Arabidopsis thaliana: one gene and its partners. The protein of the gene in region 1 interacts with the protein of each later gene in a pairwise test. Each region holds a gene or a part of one and is shown in the gene's direction. Other genes may lie near its edges.

What was found.
Region 2: the proteins of SYD (region 1) and AT1G51120 interact in a two-hybrid assay, tested with the Arabidopsis thaliana proteins (one large-scale study listed by BioGRID).
Region 3: the proteins of SYD (region 1) and RSL4 interact in a two-hybrid assay, tested with the Arabidopsis thaliana proteins (one large-scale study listed by BioGRID).
Region 4: the proteins of SYD (region 1) and NF-YA5 interact in a two-hybrid assay, tested with the Arabidopsis thaliana proteins (one large-scale study listed by BioGRID).

The regions. Positions count from the first base shown.
Region 1 is NC_003071.7:12,053,068-12,061,796, forward strand, and holds the start of SYD (P-loop containing nucleoside triphosphate hydrolases superfamily protein), read left to right. Parts: upstream 1-3,703; coding exon 3,704-3,811; intron 3,812-3,905; coding exon 3,906-3,967; intron 3,968-4,215; coding exon 4,216-4,331; intron 4,332-4,428; coding exon 4,429-4,818; intron 4,819-4,919; coding exon 4,920-4,975; intron 4,976-5,492; coding exon 5,493-5,653; intron 5,654-5,740; coding exon 5,741-5,805; intron 5,806-5,887; coding exon 5,888-6,280; intron 6,281-6,395; coding exon 6,396-6,556; intron 6,557-7,234; coding exon 7,235-7,332; intron 7,333-7,648; coding exon 7,649-7,834; intron 7,835-7,949; coding exon 7,950-8,130; intron 8,131-8,217; coding exon 8,218-8,409; intron 8,410-8,497; coding exon 8,498-8,541; intron 8,542-8,729. Other genes in the region: AT2G28270 (Cysteine/Histidine-rich C1 domain family protein), read left to right, coding at 585-1,331. UniProt on the Arabidopsis thaliana protein: Catalytic component of the chromatin structure-remodeling complex (RSC), which is involved in transcription regulation and nucleosome positioning.
Region 2 is NC_003070.9:18,933,836-18,941,073, forward strand, and holds AT1G51120 (AP2/B3 transcription factor family protein), read left to right. Parts: upstream 1-4,255; coding exon 4,256-5,314; downstream 5,315-7,238. Other genes in the region: CRR41 (potassium/sodium hyperpolarization-activated cyclic nucleotide-gated channel protein), read left to right, coding at 507-1,142; AT1G51110 (Plastid-lipid associated protein PAP / fibrillin family protein), read left to right, coding at 1,545-1,838, 1,908-1,961, 2,073-2,147, 2,248-2,370, 2,443-2,634, 2,717-2,800, 2,888-2,980, 3,068-3,121 and 3 more; AT1G51130 (Nse4, component of Smc5/6 DNA repair complex), read right to left, coding at 5,645-5,899, 5,994-6,085, 6,170-6,386, 6,743-6,833, 6,930-7,182.
Region 3 is NC_003070.9:9,652,360-9,660,412, forward strand, and holds RSL4 (root hair defective 6-like 4), read left to right. Parts: upstream 1-2,115; 5' UTR 2,116-2,393; coding exon 2,394-2,747; intron 2,748-2,838; coding exon 2,839-3,033; intron 3,034-3,121; coding exon 3,122-3,253; intron 3,254-3,351; coding exon 3,352-3,447; 3' UTR 3,448-3,730; downstream 3,731-8,053. Other genes in the region: AT1G27750 (nucleic acid binding protein), read left to right, coding at 5,066-5,372, 5,684-6,402, 6,615-7,657, 7,856-8,031. UniProt on the Arabidopsis thaliana protein: Transcription factor involved in the regulation of root hair elongation. Is sufficient to promote postmitotic cell growth in root-hair cells and is a direct transcriptional target of RHD6 and RSL1.
Region 4 is NC_003070.9:20,214,074-20,222,655, reverse strand, and holds NF-YA5 (nuclear factor Y, subunit A5), read left to right. Parts: upstream 1-3,203; 5' UTR 3,204-3,467; intron 3,468-3,923; 5' UTR 3,924-3,949; coding exon 3,950-4,408; intron 4,409-4,434; exon of another isoform or gene 4,435-4,493; coding exon 4,494-4,667; exon of another isoform or gene 4,668-4,695; intron 4,696-4,781; coding exon 4,782-5,075; 3' UTR 5,076-5,320; downstream 5,321-8,582. Other genes in the region: CID3 (CTC-interacting domain 3), read left to right, coding at 1-8, 75-138, 238-268, 373-590, 673-816, 914-1,012, 1,105-1,173, 1,271-1,303; SPL2 (E3 Ubiquitin ligase family protein), read right to left, coding at 5,353-5,629, 5,714-5,833, 6,016-6,137, 6,229-6,390, 6,479-6,577, 6,805-7,176; TAFII21 (TATA binding protein associated factor 21kDa subunit), read left to right, coding at 7,787-8,047, 8,290-8,580. UniProt on the Arabidopsis thaliana protein: Stimulates the transcription of various genes by recognizing and binding to a CCAAT motif in promoters. Involved in the blue light (BL) and abscisic acid (ABA) signaling pathways.

The DNA.
Region 1 (8,729 bases):
TGTCCATACTTAACCTGCAATTTACAGTACTAGTTTAAGTTTACATACACGTCATTTTCTAACATGCTACAAGCTACCGTAAAACGTCAATAAATTAAAATACTGTCATGGAACTGAGCACTTGCATTTACCTCTTAAAACGTAATAAGTACTCAAAGTCCAACTTCTATATTCATGACTACTAATTACAAGAATTTCCTTAACTTTGAATTATTCCTTCCTAAACGTATAGAATTATCCCCCACAAAGTTCCTTGGTCACGTCAGCCGCATTAACCCGTACCTAGTCTAGTCAATGGAGTATATATGCAGAAGATAAGCATTGAGTATGAGAGATTTTGATTTTTGACCTAGTAGAACCCTACATATAATACCTATGTTGCTAACAATATAAAATTTGATGTTAATTACAATATATGTTTCTCCATGTCAAAGTCAACTCTCTTTTATAAACTAATACTATGTTAGTTAAATAGTTTCCCAAATGTATCTAAGCTACAACTTGGTCAATAGCCTCAGTTTTTGGTATATATAATTATAGTTTGCAATTCTCCCTCAAAGCCTCAAAATCCCATCAAGAACAATATGGGTTCAGGAAAAACTAACCGTCCATCAGTGAGACACCCGAGTCACAATCATCCGTTGCGGGTCTTCAACTCCAAAGAAGAAGATGAGATCATTTGCTCCGGATGCGAACATGATCTAATTGGGCAAGCTTTCAAGTGTACAAAGTCAGAGTGCGATTACTTCTTGCACAAGTCATGTTTCGACCTTCCCGGTGAGATCCATCACAAGTCTCACACAAATCACCCTTTGACCTTGCTCCATTCTCCACCGAATGGCCTATCCACTTACACGTGCGATGCGTGCGGTGAGTATGGATCTGCTTTCACTTACCATTGCTCAGAGTGCAAATACCATGTTCACGTGGGATGTGCGTTTGTCCCCGAGAACGTGAAGCGTGAAGATCACGAACACCCACTCACTCTACTTTACAACACACCATGCAAAGGTCGTAAGGACGGTGTGGTGTTCATATGTGATGTTTGCGAAGTAGATGTGTCGGAGAATCTTTGGGTGTATTACTGCAAAGAATGTGACTATGGGACACATGTTCATTCATGCACGACAAATGAAGACAATGGGCCAAAAAAAGGAGGAGAAGAAGAAGGAGAATCAAGCTCATTATCGACTTCAAGGATAAAGTCATTAATGGAGGCTGAAAAAGAGATGAGAGAGATGGCGATAATACATCAACTACAGTTAGATGCTCTTGACGCAGCAGGTAGTTATGTCGGTTCATGGGAACCAAGGAGAAAAGATTATTGGTAAATGATGAATCTTGGGAGGACCATCAAACTTTGTTTGAATTATATTCTTTTGTTTTCATTCTGATATCGTTCTTTCTTTGTATGGTTTGCAAATTATTATTTTTCATGTGGCTTGTTGTAATGTTATGAAATAAAAATAGTTATATATTTTGCTGTTTGATTTATATTCACCGATTCTGATTGATGCTTATATATTACTTTGTTTCCATCGCTTCTAAATGTCAAATGATAATATTCTAAGATCATAGCAATTGAGATCACATGCTTAAACAACAAACAACGACATTTTTTTCACGAATCCAGTCTTACTATTAGAGGAATAACGAATCAAGAAAAGGTTGTTAAGAGAGAAAAAGAAAACAAATTCATTCTCATTCATCTTAATTGGGACCGGAAAGATTACATTGGAACCTCTTATATAGTAAGAGATACTCTAAAACTGAGATAAGTAAACACCACAAAACAAAATTAAGAGATTAGGGTGTGTTTGGGATTTGCACTGAGCTTGGAACATAAGAGCACACAAGTGGGTAACAAAACTTGTCTCTAGATTCGCCAAGATCCACTTTACTCAAGATTCCATTATTTCCAATGATGTAAGCAATATTGCGAGCGGGAAGGTGACATTTGTCTATTATCTCTTTATCAAGAACAACCGCGACCTTCTTCTCCTCGTCAACGAAGAAACTCCTACCGACATTAGGAAACCAAAAACCAGCGACTGGTTTCATATCAACAGCAAATAACAAGTTGCTCCACGACACTGCATTAGGCTCAATCTTATTAGTAATCCATATCTCGACGACGGATGCCCGGTGAAACAGCACCGCAAGCTGCTCTTCTCTAACACTAGCAAGCGTCACAGTATCTCCAAATACGGCTCGGAAAGGCAGAGGCAGACGCGGTTCAAATCTTGAAATCAAAGGATAGTAGAAAATCAGGGTGATCTAGTGATGGTAGACCATGAAATGGGATCTCTTCTAGGGCATACCAGTAAGTGTTTCCCTTTAGAGACACGCCACTGTGTTTGTACAAAATATACCAGTCTGGAGTGAAATCATCAATGACCTCCCATGAATTGGAGTATAAACTGTAAATCTGAAGCTCACGAATTCGGTCCCTACTGGTCTCCAAGTACTCATTCACGAATCTCAAGATTTTGTGATTCTTTTTCTCGTATCCGAGAGCGTACTTCACGCACTTGTGGTAGATAGAATTTCTAGGTAATTCGATATACCTTGTTTGTCCCAAATAAGGGTTCCAAACAACAACCCTAGAAGAGTCTTTGTCTCTGTCCTTGTTGATGCATAAGAATAAACCCTTGGCAGTGAAAGATTTTAGATATTTTGATTCCATCTGCATTGAGATTACCTATAGGATCTATAGACGGAGAGAGTAGATCTACGCTCATCAAGGAAACTCTATAGTCCATCATCATCACCACCTCAATTCCATTCCTCTGTTTCTTCTTTAAAAAGCTCTCACTTTTCGTTATAGTGTTCCACTTTTTGCAGGTCAATCGCAGTTTCCCCAGAGATTTCACCGGAACCCTAGAGAGCACCTCCTCCTCCATATCAATTGGAAGATCGAACATCTTCGAATCGAATCTCCCAAAATCTCTCTCTCTTTTCCGTGTCTATCAATCCATCTCTTCACGCCCTCTTTTAGTGATATAACTTATCTTTTTCAATTTGGGCTTTATGGTAATGGGTCAAGGCCCATTAAGGGGTCTCGTTTAGAACTCTTGATTAATGTCTGAAATAAGTTTTATACATTTCTTCATTTGGAGAGTCATTTCGCAGAGACGACGCATAGCTTCTTCACTTGTCAGCTCTCAACGTTTCTCACCTGAAATTTCACTTCTGCTTCGTCTTCTCGAGCCGGATCTCTAATTTGTAAAGCTCCCTCTCTCTTTCTTCTTGTTCTTCTTCGTCTCCTTCTACACTGATGGATCGTTATTTAGCTATTTAGGGTTTTGTGAGTTGCATTAACTAGAGTAACTCGCGAATTCTTCTCCTTTGCCTTGCGATTTGGGGAATTTTTTAGCTCCATCAGCCAATTTTACAATTTTGTATGTATCCGTGGATTTATCACATGAATTGTGGACCTCTGAGTTTTTTTTTTTTGTTAGGTTCTTCTCGCTTTAGTTTTGCTTTTAGGTACATAAATTTTCCTCCTTTATGATTTACTTGCTCTTGGGCTATTTTCTTTTATTTGTTTGGTATGGAGTATGGACTCTAGAGTTTAGTTTAGTTTTTTTTTTTGGGCACATTGGTTGGAATTAGTCTTGTTTTATTCTGAATTGTGTAATCAATATCTGCATGCTTGTGGTGATGCAGGGAATTCTTATGTGATGGTGTAATTTAAGTTAAGATGACGTCTTCTTCGCATAATATTGAGTTGGAAGCAGCTAAGTTTCTGCATAAACTTATTCAAGATTCTAAAGATGAACCTGCAAAGCTAGCAACTAAACTTTATGTGGTAATGTGGCTTCACCACTCAGTGTATGTTTTATTTTGTAATTTTGAGCTTTATTCCTGTGCTTTAACTTTGTTTATTCTTTCGATTACTCTAGATATTGCAGCACATGAAAACCAGTGGAAAGGAAAACACAATGCCCTATCAAGTCATATCTAGGTATTGTTTTCCTTATATATCGTCGCTGGTTATTTGTTAATGAATTACTGATTAGGTTGAGATGATATAATCTTCTTACGCTGTGAGGACGTGGGGGCTGCTTCTTACTGAATCAGTTGCTTTAGCCTTTATCTAACTCAAGACTTTAGAATCTAGTTATTCTGGGTCTTTCAGCGTCAAGCTGTTTCTCATGCTTTCAAAGATTTATCACTTTTGTTTTACTGATAAAGTCTTTCTAAAACTCCCAGGGCCATGGACACTGTAGTCAATCAACACGGTCTTGACATTGAAGCTTTGAAGTCCTCGTGTCTTCCTCATCCTGGTGGTACCCAAACGGAAGATTCTGGGTCTGCACATTTGGCTGGTATATCCTCTCTCCTTTGTTTCAGTTGAGTGTTTCAATTGTTTTTTTTATTTATTTATTTATTATCTTAAGCTTCTTGCATCAATGTGGAATACAGGGTCTTCCCAAGCGGTTGGAGTTAGCAATGAGGGTAAAGCAACTCTAGTTGAAAATGAGATGACAAAATACGATGCATTCACTTCTGGTAGGCAGCTTGGTGGATCAAACAGTGCGTCACAAACCTTTTACCAAGGGTCTGGAACTCAAAGTAACAGATCATTTGATCGTGAGAGTCCATCCAACTTGGATTCTACGTCTGGAATTTCTCAACCTCACAATCGTAGTGAGACAATGAATCAAAGAGATGTCAAGTCGAGTGGAAAGAGAAAGAGAGGTGAATCATCACTTTCATGGGACCAGAATATGGATAACTCTCAAATATTTGATAGCCACAAGATTGATGATCAAACTGGAGAAGTAAGCAAAATAGAAATGCCCGGTAATTCAGGTAGGGATATTTGCTTCAACATTGTTTCTTACAGAACAAAGCATATCCTTTTTAATCTAGAATATAAGAAGCACCCTACAATTGTTGCCATTAAACCTCAGGTGACATTAGGAATTTGCATGTTGGGTTGTCCTCAGATGCATTCACGACTCCACAGGTACATAACACTAAGTTTCCCGAATCCATCCAGATTATATACATATTGTGTACATAACATTAGGTTTATGAAATCATTTTGAGCCTCCCTGACTCTGCCAATTTCAAATATTTTGGGACTTTGTGCTACACGTATCTGATGCACAATAACTTCTTAAGAATGTATAAAGAGATATATGCTGGCACATGGTGGCTTATTCTCCGAAACATTTGTCTCTCCTTAGAAGTATTATTTTCTTATCTATTTTCGTTTTCTGTATTGGAAATATGAAAAAAATGCTTGCATTTCCCGTGGTGATTTTCTTTGTTTTTTAACCTAAAAAACTTAGATGCCACTAAATTCACTTTTTCAAAAACGTGATTTGATTAAAACTTTGCCTTCTATATGATGTATTGAATCTTACTTGCATATAGTCTGACTTAGGCTCTGCAAAATGTCCTTTCCTCTTTTATTTCATACCAAGATACCTCGTTGGAACTCATCCCCTCTATATGTGGGATCTTATTTTCTATGGCAGTGTGGCTGGCAGAGCAGTGAAGCCACAGCAATCAGGCCTGCAATTCATAAAGAACCTGGAAATAATGTTGCAGGAGAGGGATTCCTGCCTTCAGGTTCACCTTTTAGAGAGCAACAACTGAAGCAGCTCAGAGCCCAGTGCCTTGTGTTTCTAGCTCTTAGGTACCTTACAGTCTCCTAGCCTCTGTATACTCCTTTTGGTGCGGCAATTGTAACTCTAAAAATTTCTGGTTGATTTTCATCTCGTAGAAATGGTTTGGTACCGAAGAAACTTCACGTAGAGATTGCCCTTCGAAATACTTTCCGCGAAGAAGGTAATGTTGGTGCTCACTGAAGTTACTTTCGAATCCACTTTTTACATGCTTTCCCTTGGATCATAATTGGTCTTCATTACAGATGGTTTCCGCGGAGAATTGTTTGATCCGAAAGGGAGAACACATACGTCCAGTGATCTGGGTGGCATTCCTGACGTCTCTGCACTGTTGTCAAGAACAGACAATCCCACTGGAAGATTGGATGAAATGGACTTCTCATCCAAAGAAACTGAGAGATCAAGACTAGGGGAAAAAAGTTTCGCAAATACTGTATTTTCTGACGGGCAAAAGCTTCTAGCATCTAGAATTCCCAGCTCTCAAGCACAAACTCAGGTTGCTGTTAGTCATTCTCAACTAACGTTTTCTCCTGGTTTGACCAAAAACACACCATCAGAGATGGTGGGGTGGACTGGAGTAATCAAAACTAATGACCTCTCAACTTCTGCTGTTCAACTCGACGAATTTCATTCTTCTGGTTAGTGACTATCTTAGATGGGATTGTTTTAACTGATGGGTCTTTCCCTTTTGGAGTGTAGTATTGTTAACTAATTTGATTGATAACTCTTCGAATATGGATATATGGCACATAGCAGATGAAGAGGAAGGTAATTTGCAACCGTCGCCTAAGTACACCATGTCACAGAAATGGATTATGGGTCGACAGAATAAGAGACTATTGGTTGATCGTAGTTGGTCCCTTAAACAGCAGAAAGCCGACCAGGCAATTGGTTCACGGTTCAATGAGTTGAAGGTCTTTCTCTAGCCTTTTCTTTCATTGGTGTTACCTTTTGTTTCACGAGTGATTGATTTTTCCTGGTGTCAACGTTTTATGCTGTTGCTTGTTGTTTGTGGTGGTTCTTACTTTTCCGTGTTCTTGATCTTGTTATTGGAACAGATCAATGATCATATTTAAGTATCCGATTTTGGATATAGAAGTGCCTGACATTGTGATTGAGTAAATTGTTTAGCTATTCCATCTTCAGCTCTACCCACTGTAACCTGTCAGACTGATCCCAGGAATCAATTTTGATCAAGCTAATATATTAAATTTGATCTCAGTGAGATAAAATAATGGCAAGTTGTACTTGGAATTTAGGCAAGCATTTGTAACCTCTTTTATGTATTCGTCTTCCATTAAGGAACACTTATTTGCTCAGTTTACAAAATTCACTAAAAAACAACTTCCTGTAGTGGGGTTCTTCTTTTCGATTTTCATATTGTAAATAACTGCGAAGTTAGCTGTTTTGGCCTTAGGGTAATGTTTTTGAAATGACCTTCACATTTGACGTTATACTGAAGAACTAGTTGTACTTCACATTTGCAGAAACACTAAGGAACTAGCTGTACTTGTGTCCTTACTTTATTAGGTTCTTAGTGATTACTATATATTCTGGATCTGGATACTGATTCATGTACCCCTAATCTGCAGGAATCTGTGAGTTTGTCTGATGATATATCTGCAAAGACCAAGAGTGTAATAGAACTGAAAAAGCTTCAGCTGTTAAATCTACAACGGCGATTGAGGAGGTGGGTGTATGTTATTTGCTTAAAAAATATCAGGAAGGAGATGTTTCGCCTTATTATATCTCGGATGCAACTAGATATTTTGTTTTTGTAGCTGTACGTTATTTGCTTAAGAAATATTAGGAAGGAGATGTTTCGCCTTCTTATATCTATTATATGCTAAGTCGAGCTGGGGTATTGATATAACTAGATATTCTGTCTTTGTTAAACTACGGAGGATGCAAACTATTTTGTTATATGTGTAAAATATATGCATCCACATATTCAACCTGTTGTATCACCTCTCAGCTGCTATTGTTTTGTTGACTTGTTGAATCAGTGAGTTCGTTTACAACTTCTTCAAACCTATTGCAACTGATGTTGAGCATCTAAAGTCATATAAGAAACATAAGCATGGCCGGAGAATTAAGCAGCTTGAAAAGTATGAGCAGAAGATGAAGGAAGAGAGACAACGAAGAATTCGGGAGAGACAGAAGGAGTTCTTTGGAGGGTTAGAAGTTCACAAGTATGTGCAATTAGTTTTCTGACCTAATTCATTCTTCTTATTAGGTGCATCGAATAGTAGACGATATTTTTTATACTGCTTCGTACTTAATCCTTGTTTGAAAACCTGGCTTTAGGGAAAAACTAGAGGATTTGTTTAAAGTTAGGAGAGAAAGGTTGAAGGGTTTCAATAGATATGCAAAGGAGTTCCACAAAAGAAAGGAACGACTTCACCGTGAGAAGATTGACAAAATTCAACGTGAGAAGATTAATTTGTTAAAGATAAATGATGTGGAGGGTTATCTCCGAATGGTGCAGGTTTGGTCTCGGAACTGACTATGGAAGTTTTTGGTTTATATTGCTCCTTTGATACTGGTGTGTATATGAATGTTGCTGAATATGTAGGATGCCAAGTCAGATCGAGTAAAGCAACTACTCAAAGAGACTGAAAAGTACCTTCAGAAACTTGGATCCAAGTTAAAAGAGGCTAAATTGTTGACCAGTCGATTTGAGAATGAGGCAGATGAAACGCGTACGTCAAATGCTACCGACGATGAAACTTTGATTGAAAATGAAGATGAGAGCGACCAAGCAAAGGCAAGTTATATCTCAGGTTATTCCTTTTTTTTTTTTTGGGTAAGCTTTCTTCCATCTGTTTCTCATGGTTATGATACATACTATACAGCATTACCTGGAAAGCAACGAAAAATACTACTTGATGGCTCACAGGTAATATTCTGCATTCTATAGTTACAGTCTAAACATTACCCTTAATGACATTATAACGTTTTAACTTTCTGTTTCGTATGTGAGTTGTCACCTTTCTTACCATTTTTTTTCTTCTCGAAAAGGTGGTTATGTTGTTTGTAAATAGTCATATGTGGATATTATTCCTCATTCATCTATTCACTAGATTT
Region 2 (7,238 bases), on another chromosome or scaffold:
TTCGTCTTACCAGTATTTCTATTTCGAGTCCTCGTTTATGTATGTAAACACTACAGGGTTTTGTTTCTTGTGTATATCACGTTTTGGTTCTAATACAACTTTTATTTGCTCTTCTTTTCTTGGTAGTAAAATACAAATAGTAAGATTTTTCGCATAAAAATATAGTTTCTGTTAGAAAATAAAAGTATATTAGCACGAAAGAATGGAAACTAAAAACTCTGAGACCGGCCTCTCCAATGAGTGACATGAGTCGATGAATACTCAACTATTATGTTTTTACAGTTTACTTATCCACAGATGACACTGTTTCTTTCTACTGTGAAAAGAGCAGCCGTGGTGCTTACACCTCCACACGACACCGTTTAAACGGAAACTAAAAACGACGTGACGTTCTTGTCTGAAACACTTAAACGACGCTATAGTGTACTGTAACTCCAGAGAAGGCCTTATCTTTCTCCAATTCTCAAAACCCTCTTTAACACTCTTCCTCTAAGCTTTTTAAATCAATGGCTTCCACTTCCACACTTCTTCTTCCATCTCTCTCCTCTAAGAATCTTCACATCGCAGTCCCAATAAGAACCAATAGCTTCGTTCGTCGAACAACAAAGTTCTCAACAAAATGTTCGTCGAATCCAGAGTCAAAGGATCAATTCATCAATCTCACACCAGCACCTGAATCAATCAACACAACAAGCGCAGAGAAATTCCCAATAGAGAAACGAAGAAGATCAGAGATCATACGAGACAGAACACAAAGAGGAATCGAGAAACCAGAGCCACCAAACTTCGAAATCGGTTGGAAAAGAACAAAAGAGATAAACTTGGAGAAACCTAAAGGTTATGTAATAATGGATTTCTTAGAAAAGTTCGAAGCTTTAATGGCGAGAGAGTTTGGATCAAAGGAGCTTTTAGCTAAAGCTGGTGAGATTGTTGCAGAGAGAGCTAGAGAAGAAGCTGAGGTTTTGAGAGATGAAGGTAAAGTTGAAGAGAGAATGGTTACAGAGCTTTTTAGGGTTTTGAAATTGATGGAGATGGATTTAGCTATGGTTAAAGCTTCTGTTAAAGATGAAACTTTGAGTCAGAGGATTGAACAAGCTAGAGCTCGGTGTCGACAAGCTATTCTTGTTGCTAATTCTTTCTAATTCCTTCTTCTTCTACTTGCAAATTGAGTCAAAAGTCTATGAATTTTGTTTATAGTTTTACACAAAACAGAGCTTCTTCATCTGTAAAAGATCTTATTTTTTTGGTTCTGTAATCATCTCTGGATCATTCATCTGTTACTTTAATGGTAGAAGAAGGATTGAAGATGAGAGTCTCATGTGAAGAATCAAAACAAAGATTCATGCTTTTGGTTTTGCAATTTGTGAGGAAGCTTAAGGGTTTTTGGGAGGAAAAAACTTAATTAGTTGAGAAAATTTTACTTCCACTAGTTTCATATTTCAAGATATTTCACCAAGACTCAAGCTTTATTGTACACCACACATTAAAAATGCAAAGTTTAATCATTTTAACAAAAGCTTCACAAGCAGCAGTAGACAGCAACAATGGTGGCAGTCAGATTCTACGCTGTAGAGATGTCGCTACCATGTTTATGTCCATGCCCATCATCGCCGATTTCTCTTTCATTGTGTTCTCCGAGATTCAATCTTCTTAACACAACAAGCAGGAGACTAGGTTTGTCTAGAAACTGTAGAACTCTGCGAATCAGTTGTTCATCTTCATCTACTGTCACTGACCAAACTCAACAATCGTCTTTTAATGATGCTGAGTTGAAACTCATTGACGCTTTGATCGGAATTCAAGGCCGTGGCAAATCTGCTTCTCCTAAACAGCTCAATGTGTGTAAAAACTTTAAACTTTCTTTAATTTTCCGTCGTGTTTATGATTTGAGAGATTCTCTGTTGTAGGATGTTGAATCTGCTGTGAAAGTTCTTGAAGGTTTAGAAGGCATTCAAAATCCTGTATGAAATGTTTTCTTGTGAATCCTTTTATCTTCAAATTACCAAATTCTGTTATGTTTTGTTCTTTGACTCATTTGGTTGTCTTTTGGGGAATGTTGTTTAAATGTTTAGACAGATTCTGACCTAATCGAAGGTCGTTGGCGATTGATGTTCACCACAAGACCTGGAACTGCATCTCCAATCCAAGTCAGTTCTTCTCACACATTCATCATCATATCTCCATTTTTTCTAGATGATTGTAATTTGTGTGTAAGAAGAAGAGCAATGGAAGGATTTGTCTCTGCAGAGAACATTTACAGGAGTTGATGTGTTCACTGTGTTTCAAGATGTATACTTGAAGGCAACAAACGATCCTCGTGTTTCAAACATTGTTAAATTCTCTGATTTCATTGGAGAGCTGAAAGTTGAGGTGAGTTTCTTCACTAAAGTCTTTGCATCAAAAGACTGAGATGTTTATACTTTGAATTGTTTCATTTTACAGGCAGTTGCGTCGATCAAAGATGGGAAACGAGTTTTATTCCGTTTTGATAGAGCCGCTTTTGATTTGAAGTTCCTTCCTTTCAAAGTTCCATATCCAGTTCCTTTTAGACTTCTTGGTGATGAAGCAAAAGGTTGGCTAGATACTACTTATTTGTCGCCTTCAGGTAACCTTAGGATTTCTAGGGGAAACAAGGTAAATGAGTTTCTTGATTCTCAAAAAGAAAATTAAAGCTTTATAGCATTTTTATCCATGAGGCTGTATATTTGTAGCGCAGGGAACAACGTTTGTTCTTCAGAAAGAAACCGTGCCTAGGCAGAAATTGTTAGCCACCATATCTCAAGACAAAGGAGTAGCTGAGGTAATGTGTCATGCCTTCAAGAAATCTGAAAACAATCGATAGTTTCGGTTTGAAATGGAACCAATGGATCGTTTAGTATAAACACAGGCTATCGATGAGTTTCTTGCGTCTAATTCTAATTCCGCGGAAGATAATTATGAGCTTTTAGAAGGAAGTTGGCAAATGATTTGGAGTTCACAGGTCACTTCTCTGATAACTTTAGCTTTTGTCTTGAACAAGCACTTATATTCGTTTGGATAAGCGATTTTTCGGGTTTTGTGTTTGCAGATGTATACAGATAGTTGGATTGAAAATGCAGCAAATGGTCTTATGGGAAGACAGGTAAACATTTTATTAGAATGTCTTAGGTAGTCTATTGTTGCTTCAGCTGGCTTCGTTTAGCGAAATCGAGTATCTTATTCAGATCATTGAGAAGGATGGGAGGATAAAGTTTGAAGTTAACATCATTCCGGCATTTAGATTCTCCATGAAAGGCAAATTCATGTAAGTCTCTGTCTTTTAGATTAGTCATTTTGCTAACTTTTTTGTGATCTTGTTTCTTGACTGGTCTCATGAATGATTTGCAGAAAATCAGAAAGCAGTACATATGACTTGAAGATGGACGACGCAGCAATTATAGGCGGTGCATTTGGATATCCGGTCGATATAACAAACAATATCGAGCTAAAAATTCTGTAAGATCTCTCTATCTTCTTCTTCTACTACTTTCACAAATCACAACATATAATAATGCATTTGAATTGCTAATACAGAGATGCTTACTTTAATGTTTGTAGGTACACAGATGAGAAGATGAGGATAAGCCGAGGATTCGATAACATTATCTTTGTGCACATCCGAGAAATTTAGCTGCATTGTTCTATCAGAACCTCTTATTTGAACATATGAAAAAAAATAGTATGTAAGAAACTGTCAAATGTTTTACAACAATGGAAGGTGATAGTTTAAATTTTCTCTGTTCATTAGTTTTTTTGGATGTAACAGGAACCAGAAAAAACAAGAAACCACATGATATAATTTTCGCTACTAATGTCTAAATTAAGACAAAATTAACATTAAGAAAACTTTACTTTTTGTCTTAATCTTAAACAAATTCACTGAATATTTCTTTCTACAAAGAAAATACGAATATCTCACTAACAAAGGAAACTTACCACTAACAGCTTCTGGTGGCATTAATTACTCTGTAAATTGCCATTTTTTCACCGAGAGAAAACTAGAAAAACAAAACAAAACATGGAAACTGTAACATTCTAAAAGATTCATTGTTAACAAAACCAACAGAGAAACATAATACTGATTTTCCAGGATTTACTCCCTCAAATCTCTCCTTCAAATACTCTTCCTAATCTCTTCTGTTTTCATTTTGCTTGTTCCCTGCGAACATCTCTCTCTCTTCCTCTGTTTCTTGTTTTTTTGTCCTTTTCTTGATTTTTGTATTTTTTTGTTATGGATATGGACGAGATGAGCAATGTAGCCAAGACAACGACAGAGACTTCAGGCTTAACTGACTCTGTCTTGAGCCTCACGAAACGCATGAAACCTACTGAGGTTACGACCACCACAAAACCTGCCTTGTCCAACACGACGAAATTCAAAGGAGTTGTTCAGCAACAGAACGGTCATTGGGGTGCTCAGATTTACGCAGACCATCGAAGGATTTGGCTTGGAACTTTCAAATCCGCTCATGAAGCCGCTGCTGCTTACGATAGCGCATCGATTAAGCTTCGAAGCTTTGATGCTAACTCGCACCGGAACTTCCCTTGGTCTGATTTTACCCTCCATGAACCGGACTTTCAAGAGTGCTACACGACAGAAGCTGTGTTGAACATGATCAGAGACGGTTCTTATCAACACAAGTTCAGAGATTTTCTCAGAATCCGGTCTCAGATTGTTGCGAATATCAACATCGTGGGATCAAAACAAGTCTTAGGAGGAGGAGAAGGTGGTCAAGAATCGAACAAGTGTTTCTCGTGCACGCAGCTTTTTCAGAAAGAACTGACACCGAGCGATGTAGGGAAACTGAATAGGCTTGTGATACCTAAGAAGTATGCAGTGAAGTATATGCCTTTCATAAGCGATGATCAAAGCGAGAAAGAGACGAGTGAAGGAGTAGAAGATGTGGAGGTTGTCTTTTACGACAGAGCAATGAGACAATGGAAGTTTAGGTATTGTTACTGGAGAAGTAGCCAGAGCTTTGTCTTCACCAGAGGATGGAATGGTTTCGTGAAGGAGAAGAATCTCAAGGAGAAAGATATTATTGTCTTTTACACTTGCGATGTCCCCAACAATGTGAAGACATTAGAAGGCCAAAGCAAGACCTTCTTGATGATTGATGTTCATCACTTTTCAGGCAACGGTTTCGTGGTTCCCGAGGAAGTAAACAAGACGGTTCATGAGATTTCTGATGAAGAGATGAAAACAGAAACCCTCTTTACCTCGAAGGTAGAAGAAGAAACCAAATCAGAGGAGAAGAAAGGAGGGTTTATGCTGTTTGGTGTTAGGATCCAATAGCTAGCTACTTGGTTCTTAGGTTTTTTATATTATAACTTAATTAGAGTATGGTTTTTATTTGCTTTTGTATTACATAGTTTTTTTATTTACAAACTCGATGCTTCGATTTTGATATCTAACATTAATTAGATAAATTGTCTCTCTTGAGTAGATCAAAAAAAAAAGAAGAAGAAAAACCAAAAGAGGCTTTAAATTCTTCTTCTTTTAAGAGTTAAGACAAAAGCCACTTAACTGCTACAAACTACAACGAACTAAACAATCCTAACAAAGACATTTAGTTAATGTCACAAAATGAAATAGATACAACTCACTTCTCTCTCTATACACTCCTTAAGAAGAGGTGAGTCTCCGCTTACATCTCCTTCGAGTCCCATCGCCCTCTTTGTCAGGAGTATCTTCTACAACAGTTTCTTCTTGTACAACCAACCCTCGGTTTCTCGATAGTTTTCTTATTGGTGTTGTCTGAGTATCTTGTGTGAAGTCTGCTGATGCAGGGGCTGATGCAGCGGGACAAGAAGATGAAGCAACTGCAGTTTGTCTGTGTGGCATTAGCTCCTCGCCCAGTGGCACCATTTCAGACATCAACTGTTTGACATATATCATCACATCAACATAAATCAGACATCTTCAGGACATAATTTAACAATCTAGAGAACGAAATGAGATTCTATTTTATTACCTTCCAATCTTTGAAATCTAATCTAAACACAAAATGGTTATAAATGACTTCACCCGACATCACCACGTTTGCATCAGGTGCATTTCTCGGCACTGAGGACACATTAGGAGATCAAGTATAAGTGAAACGAATTAAATATCAAAACCAGACACAAGAGAGTGGACTTGTGATCTTACTGGCGAAATGAGAACCACTTTTGTCGACAATGATCTCAACTCGTCCATCTTTGGCCAAGAAAGATAGAGCAAACAAATTCTCTACAGTCTGTGCAAATGACCGCCTGTTGAGCACCAAATTCTCAAGCTGCACGCGCTTCTTTTTCCCCAAGATGTTAAACATTATTGTCATATTCTTGTCTGTATCAGTTTTTTCTTCTGATTGTGAATCATCTACCTGGTTATTATTATGCGTATGCAAATCAGCTTGTTTATTTCTTATTAAAACCCTAACTACATAACAATCAACAAGCTCCACACAAAGCATCGCATCATATTTCACAGATGGCGAGGGCTTTTAACTTCAGTATGTTTTTTGTACTCAAATCAACTATATACAATTTCACATTGGATATCATGCAAACGACTATTAAACACCACTGATCGATCAGGCTGGGATAAGAAAAGCATTCAATGAATCTAGGCAAGGTGTTAAGATGTGCAGTCTCAAAGGAGAATAGGACTACAGGTACAACATAAGTGGAATCAGTTTGATAAACTCAAACAAAATGGGGTCTGCAAAACATTTCTTACCTCATCTGGACGAACACCTTCACCAGGCTTTGTACGTTTTCTGTTGGGTGCCCTTTTCCTTTGCTTCAGTTCAGTATCCATAGGTCCCAACCTGGTAACAAAACAGGTAAACAAACCTTTGTTTAAACAGAATATACTCAATTACAGCAAAGCAAATCAATATAAAATAGTTATTATGAGAACTCACATTGTAGAACAACCACATGATACTAAAACAGTAGAACAAACAGCAAACCCAAGATCCTTCCACTTTAAAGATACTTGAGCAGTTTCATCAGTATCAATCCCCAAAGAACCTTGACCAAACCCACTGATCAAAGCATTAACAAACTCAGCCGGTGAAACCCCATGAGCAGACTGAGACTTCACCGATGACATTAAAGTGTTTGCTATATCCAGAAGTGCCTCTGCGTCTGCAATTTGTTCCCTAGGCTTCCGAACTACAAGAAACATTGTAACCAAACCAAAAAAAAAAGGTCTTTTCGTTAGTAATACA
Region 3 (8,053 bases), on another chromosome or scaffold:
TGAGTTGCTCTGTGGTTCTCAGCTTGACACATTAACATTTTCTCTTACATGAACTCAATTAAATTATAGATGATATGTTTGTCTTTATAATTAGGAGTAAATGATTATGTGCATACATATTATATTCAGGGGTTTTATTTATGTCTGTCAAATAATTTAACAGAAACTGAGGATTGAAATTATATATGTATAAGGTTTTCATTTTTATTTTGTTCTAGTTGACTTAAAAAGAAGAAGAACTGATTGAATAACGAAACCCTTATATACAAAAAAGCAATTTGTGTCATGAATAACCTAACTTAGGATCATGAATAACTTAAAAATTAAAATACATGCATGAATAACGAAACCCTTATACAAAAATAAAAATAATTGTAAATTAACGATCTCATATTGTAGGGATATTAGAGAAGTGCAAGTTACTCCATCGTATGTAAATTATGTATAGTTTTTCGTCGTATTCGAAGTTTAAAATCTACCAAGCATTCTCATACATCGGATTTATTATAATATCGGACCAGAACTAACGATTATTGTCCTTAAATCCAATGGAATATGAATATGGCGACATTCTGACTTTAAGCAAGACAAGAAATCGAGCAGTGATCATGCCACCACATTTCACTTTTCATTTTAATATACATAACATATGCATGCTAAAAAAACAACAGTTCGTACAAGTCAAATCATTGATAATGAACTAAAATGTGATTATACCATAAGAGTATAAAACGATATGATGTAATTACGACACATTCTTTGAACCCGTGTGTATTATTCACGGAATTGGAATGTTAAGAGGAGTTATAAGTCTTAAGAATGAATGAAACAGATAGGCAAATCCGTAAGGTGCAATGTACCGTAACCCGTCCTCTAAATTTTGAAACTTAGAGACAATTGAACATATCTTCAAGCTGTGATTTTATTTTCTTTGAATATTTTTTTGTTTGTAAAAAAACTGATAAAGAAGATTTTATGTGGGGATGATCTTAAGACAAAAAACGAGTTTGAATCTCATCTTGTCGGAATCTCCAACTCTGTTCTGTGCCGTCCTAATATAATTTTAATTATGTTTATTTATCTTTTGTACGATTATGCATACCTACTTGACCTTTTATAACTTATAAGGCAATTTGCCTCCCAGCCGGACCAAAAAGATAACAAGCTCAGATAACTTTTTTTAAAAAAAATTTAGCAAACAGTCAACTATAATACATACAAATTAGCTTATTCTTTTCACATGCCCATAACTAGATTAATTTATGTGTATATATAAGGTGTTGAGTTTATATATAATACATACAAGTATACAACTACAATACCATGCATTTATATATAATAAAAGTGTTGAATTCGCCTTATTTGCTTATAAATTTGAAAGTCCTCGAAGTAACGGAATTTTCAAGTATATAACAAAAGAATGTTCACACTTTAACACATGAACAAACGAATGTTAACACTTTAACATTTTAAAGTATAGTTTATGGCTTATTCTTCCCTTCTAGTGTTGTATGGTTTTAAACCCCACACAAGACCACAAATGTATATAGTAACATTTTGTGTTTAAAATGAGCTAAGACTCAACGTGAATTATTCATTTATAACTCATTTACCAATCTATCCATTACAGCTGTATGTTTTTGGTATCGATAAGTGTGTTAGGGCAAAATATCACCATGGCTTTTGATCACTCTCTTACGAATGAGTTTTTCTTCATATATTATTATTCTTAGCTCATAGCTTCATCCAAATAAGTTAGTTATCGACGCCGGATATATATCATGCTGCCTCCAAAAAAATTAGCTAAGAGAGACCTACCGGACAATTAGTAATTTAAGGTAAAAAGCGGCATGGATTAAAAGTTTCTTTTTATTTTCTTGTTCTTTTTAGTGTTGTTGAATTTGCGATAATGATTCCACAAATCGTGCATTGGCGTGGCCATATTTTATACTTCACCGCTTCTCTTGTGTGGCCAATGTAAAGTCTTTCTCATTATTATACTAATCTCTTACCATCTTATACATAATGTATTTTAATTAATTGAGATGAATGGATAGTTATAAATAAGAATATGTTAATGTGTCGTGAAGGAACAAAGCCTGTTGTTGTCGACCCCACAAGTTGACTGATCGTGTTCATCATCATGCATGGCTTCGTTTCACTTATTTAATTAACGACTTGTTCACGACACAAATGATTGTACCAGTTTAAGAATCTCTTGATCTCTCTTCATCATCACCAAATCTTCCTTGAGAAATATTCTCTCCATCATCAAGTGTCTCCAACCTATATATATATATATATAGTTGCACAAGTTCAAGAATTATCATAACAACAAACTAACAAACAACAACAACAACAACAAGAAAGGCAAGAGTTGATCAGTTAGAGCGATGGACGTTTTTGTTGATGGTGAATTGGAGTCTCTCTTGGGGATGTTCAACTTTGATCAATGTTCATCATCTAAAGAGGAGAGACCGCGAGACGAGTTGCTTGGCCTCTCTAGCCTTTACAATGGTCATCTTCATCAACATCAACACCATAACAATGTCTTATCTTCTGATCATCATGCTTTCTTGCTCCCTGATATGTTCCCATTTGGTGCAATGCCGGGAGGAAATCTTCCGGCCATGCTTGATTCTTGGGATCAAAGTCATCACCTCCAAGAAACGTCTTCTCTTAAGAGGAAACTACTTGACGTGGAGAATCTATGCAAAACTAACTCTAACTGTGACGTCACAAGACAAGTAAGTGGAAGATCCAATATATAATGTTTACTTTCATTCACTACTACTACGCAATAAACTAAATAAAATATCATTAATTTGTGGGATATAGGAGCTTGCGAAATCCAAGAAAAAACAGAGGGTAAGCTCGGAAAGCAATACAGTTGACGAGAGCAACACTAATTGGGTAGATGGTCAGAGTTTAAGCAACAGTTCAGATGATGAGAAAGCTTCGGTCACAAGTGTTAAAGGCAAAACTAGAGCCACCAAAGGGACAGCCACTGATCCTCAAAGCCTTTATGCTCGGGTTAGAAAACATACTTTATATTACTTCGGTCTCAAAACCAAATGACAATGAGTAAAGTCGTTCTTAAGTGTGTTATCAATTGTTGCAGAAACGAAGAGAGAAGATTAACGAAAGGCTCAAGACACTACAAAACCTTGTGCCAAACGGGACAAAAGTCGATATAAGCACGATGCTTGAAGAAGCGGTCCATTACGTGAAGTTCTTGCAGCTTCAGATTAAGGTATGTAGATTGTTAAAAGGATTTTTTGTTTTTAGTCAGAATCTTATCATAACTCATGTTCAAGTTAACTAACCAAAATGCATATTTTATAAATGTAGTTGTTGAGCTCGGATGATCTATGGATGTACGCACCATTGGCTTACAACGGCCTGGACATGGGGTTCCATCACAACCTTTTGTCTCGGCTTATGTGAAGGACTTACAAGTTACAATGTCAATGTAAAGAAACCCATTTAGAACATATATATCCCTATTTGAGCCAAACTAAAGAGATCTACGCTAAGATCCTACCATTTTCTTCTTGTTGTTCATTCTGATATTTTTATTATTCTTAACTTCTTTTGTCTCTTTCGTCATTATGGTTCTAAGAACTTTTGGTACTCTTTTTCTTTTCTTTTTTGTAATTATATTTTTAAATTATGAAAAAGTCAACTCAGACTAATTAAATAACAATCGTCTTTCCTTTTGCAATTTGAAAACAAAGATAAAATTGTATTATTTTATGCCAGGGTTTCGGTTATGTTTCGTACGACTCCAAAATTCACCAATCTTCGAAAAAATATATTGATTTATTCGACCGACTTTATAGCAACTCATGATAAAAGATGTATATCAACTTTTTTTTTTTTAGTGGTTACTTCATATTGTTGATTATCATTATCACTTTATCAGTGCATATTCAGACATAAGGTGCATATTGGCACAATTAATCTTTTAATTCTTGTGAATAGCACATAACTTGTGTCTAAAAAGTTAAGTTTTTGAATACCTAATTAAACAAGTGTTTGTGGAAACACCCTACAATTTCTTTTGGCCACTTAATTTTTTATGATTTGAGTCTAGAGATGTGATTGTGAATATGTGATGATACCGCACAAATCGTTCTGCTGTGCGACGATGTGATCGATCAATGGAAAAAACGTCCAATAACAAGCGGATTTGATATCATTCGCAAAGCCACGTACCGTACGTTCAAAAGATGTCCTTCATATGAATATCGACTAAGAACGTTTTGATTTTTGATTTATTAACCTTTCATTGCATTTCTTTCCGACATCTTCTCTCCATTGTATTTAGAAGATGAATTTAGTCAAACATTGAAATAAAATTTGCTATGATAACAAATTTTGTGTCATTCATCATAAATTTTAAATTAGGTGTTATAGGCTAACACTTATATTCTAGGTTTTAGAACTCATAAAGTTATCCCAAACATCTGACTGTAACAAACTAACTATACATCCCAATTTATGCTTTTACACGTTTTACCTCCCAAACTTTGATCTATTACCATTCAAAAAAATTACAGCTCTTCACTAAACATTACGATATATTAGAAGCTACACAATTCCAAATCTCTAACTGAAATATTGTTTTTTCATTTAGTATACTTTGAATTTTTTTATTAGTTGTTTTTAATTAGATGCTATATGTTTTTTTAATTAAAGATGCAAAGATTCAAATTCCATGATTTTGAAAAACTCATTTTTTTTTTTTTTTTTTAAATACCAAAACTCAAAAATTATCAAAATACAACTATTATATGTTGACAAAAAAACAATTTATCCAAAATTTTTACTTAAATACCATCCCTTGAACACGTTCCTAGTTTCGGTTTGGTTTGGCTTGATGTTCTAAAAAGCGATTCGGCTTTATTAGTCAAACCAAACCGTATCGTGAATTCGTGATCGCCTTTAGCCACCGTGAAGCTTCTCCGCGAGCTAGAGGGTCTTAAACACTAACAAAATACGGAACTGACAAACACAGCAACCGAGACTCTCTCTTCTCTCTCTCTCGCTCTCCGTCGCTGCCATGGCTTGCGCCGAGCAGCCTATCAAAAAGCGTCGTCTGTATGAGTCAATCCCTGAATCTCACCCTCCGCCACCACCGCAACTAGAATCCCAATCCCCTTCTACGGTGGTAAGCTCGTTCCCGGCTCCGGTGACACCGTCGCCTCCATCTCAGGAGGAAATTCAAACGAGAAGTAGGAACAGAGAAGAGATTCGAAGAGTGCATGACTGCTATAAGCGTCTTAAATCTTGTGTTGCTCAGAGAGATGGTGGCGGCCGCTCTGCGAATCTTGAGCAAGCGTATCGCTCCCTCATCTCCGCTTCCAGAGGTTTATTTTCTCTCATTCTTAGCTCGATTTAGTTCTATCAATTGGATGATTGAGAATCTGCCATTTTCCGGAGTTGATTGAGCTCATTTTTTTTTTTTTTTTCCTGAAATTGAGTTTTGTGGTTTTAGATAACTTTGTATGAGAAAGAATACTTCTTAACTGAATTAAGTGAATATTAGGGTTACAGATTCATTAGCTCTAGCATTATGATTCTAATCTTTGGACACCTCCTAGAGTAATTTTTGTTAGTTTGTTGGAGTAATGATTTAGTTAGTTGGAGTAATGATTTAGTTAGTTGCTTATACTTGCAGGTTGTACTAGCGTTAAGCGCCTTGTGGCTGATCTCGTTCCTCGATATGCATTGTACTGTCCTACGGCTATTGGAGATGCAGTGCAAGCTGTTATTGACATGCATAACTTCAGCTTGGAAGCTTTAAAGAGAGGACAAGATGCTGATGGTGTTGCTTTTCAAACTGCTAAAGCCTGCATATTTGGTCTAGTTGACCTATGTTCTGCTGCTTTATCGAAGAAAACGTCATCACCAGGGGCTCGAGATATCTGCTCTGCCGTGTTCAGAAATGTGTTAACCTTCTTTGTGCTTTCTTTTGAGGGGAAAAATATCTTCCAGATAGTTGATAAGAGCGATTTGAAGTTGCAAGATCCTGACGAAATTTTTTCTCAGCTGATGCAAAAACTTTCAGATGGAAACTCGTTACCTTTGATCAAATTATCCCAGTTTCGTGTTTTAGCTTTACTGAAAGTATTCTTCAACTTCCCTAAAAAATCAATTGCCACTTGTTTCGGATTCTTCAATTCTTCATCCACGGAGGATGTAGCAACGGGGAGGTATCTCATTACTCATATGACAGAAAAGATTAATGATATTGATGCCGCTAGTATTGAACCTGAAGTAGACGAGAATTCTGGTCAGACAGGTTCTAACAATATAGAGGCTACTGGTAAGAATGCAGAAGGGTTGAATGGTGTACAAGAAGCATCAAACAGTCTAACGAGCTGCTTGTTAGAAATGGTAATCCTCTGAGTAGTGTAGAATCAAAATAAGTAGCCTTTGCTTTTCTTAGCGTGTTATTTATTTGTGTAGGGCTTTAGTTATTATTTTTCCCTGTATTGAGCATCAACCGTGTCACTCATTTTATTCGCTTGCTCTGTTCTTGGAACTTTGTATGGCTAATGTGTAATGGGTATATTCAAATCTGATAGTTTCAAGAATCCTTCGTGCAGGTTATTAGGAAGAGTTCCTCCATTGGTAGGTGGGCCTTCTTTCAGTATAAGAAAATATGCAGCCTGTCATCCTTCGTGGATATATCCAGTGCTGTTACTTCTCTAGAGGGAATCTTTGGATTTGTTGGAAAAAATATCAAGTTAGAAGATTGTCAAATGGACAGTGACGAGGATGATTATGGAAAATTTTCAGTTTCACATGTGAAACCTCACAGTTCTGCAGACAATGATGTCCGCTCTAGTGCTGGATCGGTTTATGATGCTGGAGGTTCACGATCTATGGATTTTGAGACTGTTGACCAGAGAGACTTGTCATGTGGTAGATCTTCAGTCCCAAGGGGATTATTAAACCAGCATACACCATCTCCTTCTGCAAGAGGGCCTTCAGATTTAAGAAGTAACTCTACGGATCGTAGGAACAATTTTGTTCTTGCAGGATCACCTGTTTATCAGGCAGTACCCCATGGCCCTTCATCAGGGCAAATTGCTTGGTATTTGGATGGGGACCCCACTGCTTTTGACATTTTTCCGGCTTCGGGGCAGTTGTGGTTAGGCTATTTAGGACCAGATGAAACAGAAGGTCATCTAAGGTTTCAGCTTGACAGGTACGGCCCTGTAGACCGTTTCTTTTTTGATCCAGTGAAAGGATTTGCTCTAGCAGAATATAGAAGCATAATTGATGCAATCAGAGCTCGAGAATATCTGCGAGCGCAATTTCCTTGGCGCATTAAATTTATGGATATAGGAGTGGGTGCAAGGGGATCTTTGAATGGAGTAGCATATGGTTATTGTACTCATCTGTATATTGGAGGCATCAGTAGCCAGTGGGAGAGGGATGAAATTGTCCATGAGTCGCGGCAAGCCCTTTATAAGGGGCCTCGCATGGTGACTGACCTGTACTATGAACATGCCCTTCTGATGGAGTTTGATACACCTGATGATGCTGCAATTGTAATGGCCCATCTCAGGTTTTTTCGGGGAGAAAAGAGTAAATTTCATTTGGCATCAATCAATCGTCCTTTGCCTCATGAAGATGGAGGAAGGTTTGTCTTCGCTTCTTCTGACCTATGTTTTCTTTGATGATTTTGAACTATTGACATTATTTTTAATAATGAAATATCCACAAGACTTTGTATCTTCTTCTCACAAACTCTGAAGCGTTTTGACTTTGGTATAGTTATGCACTTTATGTCGTTTTTTATGTCTCATTGGTTTAATGTGGAAGTTTCTTGTCTGAACAGTCATCCAGAGAGGCACCTTCAAGTACCTCCCTCATCAAAACAGGATAGTGGTTCAGGAGAATATGTTTCCCCCTTAATGAGTACGGATAACCACTGTAATTCTGTACCTCCTGGAGCTACCTTTCAGCAAAACTGGCCTGCAGCTGGTAGCACTCTTGTGAATTCTGCACAAGGAGGTTAGTTTTCTATCTACTCTTT
Region 4 (8,582 bases), on another chromosome or scaffold:
AACATCAGGTCTTTTTCCCTTTGAACATACAAAATATCTTTCATTGAACTAGTTTCTGAAACTCATTCTGATAGGAATGAGAGCCAGCTTGGTGAGCAAAGAAAGAGCAAATTCCTAGGGGCTTCCCTTTTTAAAAAGGTATAAAGTTAAACGACGCACCTTGTGTTGATTTGGCATTTGCTTAATGGAACATTACATATAACACTGTTCTGTTGGCTTCAATCTGTATTAACGCAGCCATCTGAGGAATCAGTGTCTGGTTTTGAAGGTATGTGCAACTTCAGCTTATCGAATCTATCTACTCCCGTTTCATCTTATATGTTGATACCAATTGAATTTCCTACTAAGTTTTTAATTGCCACCTCAATGAAGATGCACCACCACCTGTGAAGCCAAGTTTCATTGATGGAAGACTCGGTCTACTCTCTGACAGAGCAAAGTCTGAGAACTCTTCTGGGTGGCCTGGAAGCTCCATTTCTAGAAATTCAGAAAACTCTGCAGCTTCCTCAGCATCAAATCTTCCAATACTGTCACCAAGCTCTTCGGGTTCTTTATCATCAGAAAAATCCACACTCAACCCAAATGCTAAGGTTTTTTTCTTAGTGCTTAGGTTATCATCTAATATCTCCTTAATACTATAAGCTTTTTACTAACGAAATTAGGTCCGACCAGGAATTTAAACTGAACCCTAACGCAAAGAGTTTCAAACCATCTCCATCAGCAACACGTCCTCAATCTCCTCAATCTCCAGTCTTTGACGGATCATTCTATTATCCTCCTGTTCCACCCATGCCAGGACTACATATTCGATACGGAGTAACTTTTCTTTATTCTTTATCTAGTGATCAACGCCTAAATTACTCTTTAAGTCTCTGTTATTATGTTTCTGATTCACTAAGTTGAAAATTGACAGACGGGAGCAGCATTCCCTGGGCAACAACACCCAATGATGTATAACAATACAACACAGCTTAGTCCGAATCAAACATATTATTCTCCAAATAGTCCACAGGTTTGTTTATTGCTATTAATAGTCATTACTCTTGAAAACTCTTTACCTTCTCTCTATTGTAAGACTGAATTTTGGAATCAATGTTAAAACAGTACCCACAACCGATGATGGTTACTCAGCAGAGACCAATCTTGTTCATGCCGCCAACGCCATACCAACCGGTTTACTACTTTACTTCAAAATTCTTGTTTTGTCTAGTTACAAAAAAAAAATGATCAACAGAGTTAGATTTTGCTGACATCTTTGATTTTATTGCAGGAGATGCCATACAAAGGAAGAGACTCTTATTAGCTTTTGGCCAAAACCATGAATGGTGGTGGCACAAGAGAAGGTCTCGAGCTGATGGAATTGGTTTCATTTAATGTACTTTATTTTTATTTATTTCCAAAGCACCGAATCTTTTCATTTTTATTCTAAAATGAACACAATTGATGTGATGGTGATTTAGTTTGTTTAGGTATTAGACTAGATTTTACATTAGATTCGTGCTGATCTCATTTCTTTATTCACTTCTGTTGTGTCTCCCTATTCAAACTTTAACGTTAAATCTTTTAGTTGTATGACATATTCTGTGTGGAGTTTGTTTTATTTATATAAAAACAGTTAGGTAGGAAAAAAAACTTTTTCATTTGTGAAAAGGAAAATCAACGATTGTAGTTCAATCTTACATATACGTGTTAAGACATGGTAGGGAAAAAGTGGAGTGCGTCTATGATTGGATTTGAAAGCGTAATGTTTAAAATTTGGAACTATTAGATTAATAATGGGTTTAGTCTTGTCTTGTCCTAAAATGCATATAAATCTTATTGCGGTGTGTTAAGGATCGAGGTTAGGGGAGATTCGAAAATATTAACTTTGTCGTGTTTGAAAATATTAGTTTAAGTAAGTCTATAAACATAAACATAGGTAAATCAAATAATTGATTTCTAAGAACTTCTAGATACTGTTGATATATAATAATAATATTTGAAGTAACACCTGTAACTTCCCTCGTTCGAAGCATGATAGTTACGCATTTCTTTTCTCTAAAGCAAATAAGTAAAAGGTACGTGTAGCAAACAACAATTAATCTTCCCCACAATACAAAGTCTCGTATTACTTCAATTATTACTAGTTAAACAAAGTGTCATTGTAGTGAACTACAAATAGGTGTCCAAGAAATAGAAATGTTGCTATATACTATATTCTTTCTTTTGGAGTGTATTTATAGTGTTTTTTTGTCTTCCTTATAATTACTATTCAGAGTTGTGGATTAAATGCAGAGAGATAGTGCAGAAATTACGATTCATTGCTGCTTTGTGTTGGGGAAGCTGCATCAAGAAATGTGAAAAAGGGCTCTTTCGCTTTGCTTTGCTTTGCTTGACTTGCAATAATATCAATTACCCCAACTACAAATATAAAATATTTTTAATTTATTCGCTTAAATGCTACTATATTGATTGCGCTATAAAGAGATGTTGACAACCTTCCACTTAAACTTTTGCTTTTTAAATTAAAAAAACACCTTCTTAAACAAAAACAAAAACAAAAAGACAGAAAAAAAAAGTACGCTTAGATAATACATAATTACATATCTTCAACTATATAAACAATGTTTTAGAATTCTGCACATTTTTGTTATGAAACAATTAAGGAATATGATACTTCAGATACCCTCTATATATTATTTAGAATCTTTGAACCTTGTAATATATATGCTGAATAGAATCGCATATAAATTGATAAAACATCACTGATATGAACATAAAAATAAAGGTGTTAAACATCTTTGAAATAAATGGAAATATTTACCATAAACATTTTTACTTTGGTTTTTCTTGTCTTCTATTTTCCTTCCTAACATTTTAATACTATCATTTATATATTTAGATATATTTCTAGCCTTGTCTAGATTATACACGCGTCACACTTCTAAATTTATATCTATCTTTTACTAGATTTTTCTATTATTTATTGTTGCCTACATATTTCTATTTTGTTTTGTAATAAAACTAAACCTGATTTGAAAATTATAAAAGCACTACGTGACACGATTTGATTCGATATACTTAATTTTTGAAACATAAACAATATAAACAAAGATAAGAAAAAATACCACAAATAGAAATGTCAAACTCTGCAAATAAATTCAGAAATGGAAACAAAATAATATTTTAAAATATTTAATAAATTGTGTGTGAATAAATATGCATTTGTTGAGAGAAGAAAACCATAATTAAAAAAAAAAAAAGAGAAAAGGAGTCAAGATTAGTCTTTTAAGCCATAGCCAATACCCAATTTGCAGAGACAGAGGAAGAGAGAGAAAGATAGTGAAGAGAAAGAAACAACCATGTTCTGAGGAAGGAGACATGCATCATCATCATCATTCATCATCATCATCATCATCATAATCTCAAGCTTATTACTTAACTTCTTTTTCTCTCCATCTCTTCTTACCAAATCCAAAGCACCAAAGGTCTCTCTCTCTCTCTCTCTCTTCTTGTTCGCTTAATTTATTTGGTAGTGATGTTATGATTTGGTTGCTCAGTTTCTACTTATGATGATATAATTAAAAATAATAATTTTTGAGTTATGAGAGAAAAAAATCTTTTGGTTGGTTTCTCTGTTTTCTTGGATCATTAAGTTCAATGAGATTTGATGAGTTTTTTTATCTGTTCAAACTCAGAAATTTAATCTGTCGATTTTAGTTTTTGTTTGCATGTTGTGTAAGTTCTAGCCATGTTCAAAGTTTGAATCTTTTGGAACCCTTTAGATCATGAAACAATCTTACTGTGTCATTGAACCTGGAATCTGTGTTTTAGGATTGCTTTTATAATCTTTTGGTATCATTTCTCTCTTGTATTTGTTGATTATGTGGATCATGAATAATATCATATGATTTATGACTGGACTTGTTGGTTTGGACATTTAGTTTATTGAAGTAAAGATTTGAAGACAATGCAAGTGTTTCAAAGGAAAGAAGATTCATCTTGGGGAAACTCAATGCCTACAACAAATTCAAATATTCAAGGATCTGAATCTTTCAGCTTGACTAAGGATATGATAATGTCTACAACACAATTACCCGCGATGAAACATTCGGGTTTGCAGCTGCAAAATCAAGATTCAACCTCATCACAATCTACTGAAGAAGAATCAGGCGGCGGTGAAGTTGCAAGCTTTGGAGAATATAAGCGTTATGGATGCAGCATTGTTAATAACAATCTCTCAGGTTACATCGAAAACTTGGGAAAGCCTATTGAAAATTATACTAAGTCAATTACTACCTCGTCGATGGTGTCTCAAGACTCTGTGTTTCCTGCTCCTACTTCTGGTCAAATATCTTGGTCTCTTCAATGTGCTGAAACGTCACATTTCAATGGTTTCTTGGCTCCTGAATATGCATCAACACCAACGGTAATATGCTGTGAAGCCTTTTGTGCTTTTACTATTCTGAATCGATCTGGCGCATTGATTGGTTGATTGGGAAATCTTTTTGCAGGCGCTGCCACATTTAGAGATGATGGGTTTGGTTTCTTCAAGAGTGCCATTGCCTCATCACATTCAAGAGAATGAACCAATATTTGTCAATGCGAAACAGTATCATGCGATTCTCCGTCGCAGGAAGCACCGTGCTAAACTCGAAGCTCAGAACAAACTCATCAAATGCCGTAAAGTATGACTGTTTTCACTTTCCATTTTGCCTAAAACACCAAAGAGAAAGAGGGAAAACTAACTCAGAAGATCTTGATGATTTGATGTAATAAAGTTTTGTTTTCTTTTTCTGTAGCCGTACCTTCATGAGTCTCGCCATCTTCATGCTTTAAAGAGAGCTAGAGGCTCCGGTGGACGTTTCCTCAATACAAAGAAGCTTCAAGAATCATCAAACTCACTGTGTTCTTCTCAAATGGCAAATGGACAAAATTTCTCTATGAGCCCTCACGGTGGTGGAAGCGGAATCGGGTCTAGTTCGATCTCACCGAGCTCCAATTCAAACTGTATCAACATGTTCCAAAACCCGCAGTTCAGATTCTCAGGTTATCCGTCAACACACCATGCCTCAGCTCTCATGTCAGGGACTTGAGGCACATGAGAAGACCTTGCTCCGAGAGAACTCAGGCTAAACTCCGGAGACTGGTGATGATACATGACGGGAAGTCATCCTTGGCTACTTATGTTATCGGTTACAAAATTTCTTCCTTTTAAAAACTTTGCTTTCATATCCTCTACAATCTCTCACTCTATATTGAGTGACTTGACGAACTTTCAAATCATTGTCAAACTATTTTGTTAACTTCCGATTCTCTGAGAGTACAAATTGCATTACCCTATTACATACAATGAGAGAAGATTCAGGGTCACTAAGAGTAATATACACGCATAGATCCCCTAATGCTCTGAAGACAAACTGGACACTTAGGGTTTAACTCTCGTTCCACGGTTGAAGCACATCGCCTGCAACATACTACATGTCCACAGGGAATAAACGCAGGTACTCTCCTTCTTGACACGCAGATCACACACAATTCTCCATCTGGGATTTCATCTGCATCTTCGGGTTCATCATCGACCACAGAATCGTTCGGTCTCTGTGGCAGTTCTCTCTGATGGTTCCATTGTTTCCATTTATTCCAGGTCCTGAAGATAAGACAGTTAAACAGATTTCAAATCGAAACATTGCCCAAATCTAAAACCAAATCTGATCTCTCACAACTCCAGTACCTGACAGCAGCATAGCTAAGGATGCCAACAGACACAATGCCCAAGATAACGCTGCCCAAGAATATAAAGTTGGTCTGTTCCATAAGGTCCTCAATCATCTTGTCCTTGGTCATCTCTGATCTGCAAAGATTATTCATAAAGATTTATATATGAACAGCAAATAGAGCCTTTCTGCAACAATGGACTAAATCTTGTCAAATGATCAACAGATTGAGAAAACATAAAGAAGAAGATGAAGTAATAATTTGAGCTAGAACGCAGGCAGATATATAAGAACGAAAAATATTCAGATAAAATCTCACAAGAAATAAGGAAGATCTTGGCACGATTTGATTTCAGGAACTCCATTATTAAAACTGTAGATGCCAACAGCTGTTATATCTTTCCCAGGTGGTAAAATCTTCTCTATATCAAGCAGACCAACCTTGGAAGAGAAAGGATTACAAAGTTAGCCAAGAACAAGTAACCATCAGTTCCTCAAAACCAGAAATTTCTTTGAATATATATATACTCACAGGATAATCGGGGTACAAAAAGGCTTGAAGAAACGAAGAATTAATAGGCTGCAAGCGATTATACACAGTGGTAAGCGGAAGAGGTTGCCTTGAGCCATCCATGTTAACAGCGACAAAACTAGAGTTCGATTGCTGATCCTTTCCAACAATGACAAATGGGACCTGCACAAAGCAAAGGATACACAAAACAAGTTTGATCATGGATACAGAGCCAAAGTTGAAAGCTCTGAAGCTGATAGAGAGACTTTACCGTTCTCGTAAAATCAGCACCGTGTTTGCGCAATGATCTCTCCAACATAAACCGGTGACCAGTGGACTGAAACAATCTCTTCCATCCACTATACACATACTGTCAACAACAAAATGATGACATTAGAAACATACATTTCCCTTCTGAGATCACACCAGTACCAACTTACATAATCCTAACTTAATCAATCACAATGAACACCTAATCATGAAGAAATCATCCAAACTCTTTAACCTAAGCCTTTGATAAGAACACAAAGCAAAATTAGGTCAATGTCAATTGCAATTTGAGGGAAACATAAACACTTAGGGTTTAGAGCAACGTACAGTTTGCGTTCTCTGAATGATAAGAGCTTTATCTCCAGTCTCCGGAGAGATTAACACGTTGTTGTTCTTGTAACCCTCATCACCGGAAATTTTCGGTTTGACGACTCCGCGAACCACAACGATTCGCTGATCATTGCTCTTCCTGTTATCGTTAGTCTCTGATTTGTCTTCAGAAGCCGGAAGCAGTGATCGGAGGTCGGAAATGGAGACTTCGGGTGCATCTTTGATCTTCTTCAACGCGGCGTTGGTAGAAGCATACTTGAGAGCAGAACCGACGGCGCTAACAGCTAAAGTCAGTCCGAGGATTGCGCCGTCGAAGGAGAGAGCGATGTCCGTCAATAGATTCAAGAGAGCACGCTCCGGCGAGGACATTGTGGTAATTTCGATTTCAACGTCGTAGACACGGTCACACGGACAAGTAAACGGAAGAGAAATGAGGCTATTATCGGTATTTAATATTATACATTCGACCGTCGTTCTAATTTGGGTCTTTAATGGGCCTATGCACGAGTGAAATACAAAATACTAGTAATAAATAGCGTTTTAGTTAAATTACATTTACACCCTCAACGTTACAGCAGATTTACAAACCAAAACCATAAATATCAGATCTAGAGTGGCAGAGATTAGTATTTCCCGATTCCTCGCCGCCGTTCATCAATCTCTCCGTCGTGTTTCTGCCACTAGCTCTCCACCAAACTTTCTCTCTCGCATTAGGTATTTATCGCCTCTTTATGGCATATAATCTTGTGTTTTGGAACTTATTGATGAAGCTAGGTTAGAATCTCCTTTGTCTTTCTTATCTCCGATTCGTGAAGCTCTAATTCTTATTTATTCGATTTATGTAATGTGTTGCTGTTACACGATGTTTGCTTGTGAGATTCGATTGAAACTTGTGTTGTTGCAACATCAATTCTGTATAAGAAAGGTTCTTAATTTGACTCTGTAGCTTTACTTTTTTTTTAGTTGTTTAGGGATAAACATGGCAGGAGAAGGTGAAGAAGATGTACCTAGAGATGCTAAGATTGTGAAATCTCTGCTTAAGTCGATGGGTGTAGAAGACTACGAGCCTCGTGTGATACATCAGTTTCTGGAGTTATGGTACCGGTATGTGGTCGAAGTGTTGACAGATGCTCAGGTTTACTCAGAGCATGCTAGCAAACCCAACATTGACTGTGATGATGTGAAGCTCGCTATTCAATCCAAAGTTAATTTCAGCTTCTCACAGCCTCCTCCAAGAGAGGTATGCATTGTTGACGATTCCATGTTTCTTCTTCTTCATTGTCTGAGAAGAGATGCGATATGATCGGTCATTTGGTATATGTGAATCATTAGGGAATTATCACTCTTACTTATGACTTATGAACTGTGTGTGACCCTCTTGCCTCATAAATTGTATCACTGAGAACCTCAAGTTTTTGTCTGTCACATCCATGCCTTTTGGTTCCTGAATCTTGAAGTTTCTGTTTTTGATGTTTGATTTAGGTTCTGCTTGAGCTTGCTGCAAGTAGGAACAAGATACCTCTGCCAAAATCGATAGCAGGACCCGGTGTTCCACTCCCACCTGAACAGGACACATTGCTGAGCCCAAATTATCAGCTCGTGATACCGAAGAAGTCGGTTTCAACAGAACCTGAAGAAACCGAGGACGATGAAGAAATGACAGATCCTGGACAGTCCTCTCAAGAACAACAACAGCAGCAACAACAAACCTCAGACCTTCCAAGCCAAACTCCTCAAAGGGTCTCTTTCCCACTCTCTAGACGACCCAAATAAGT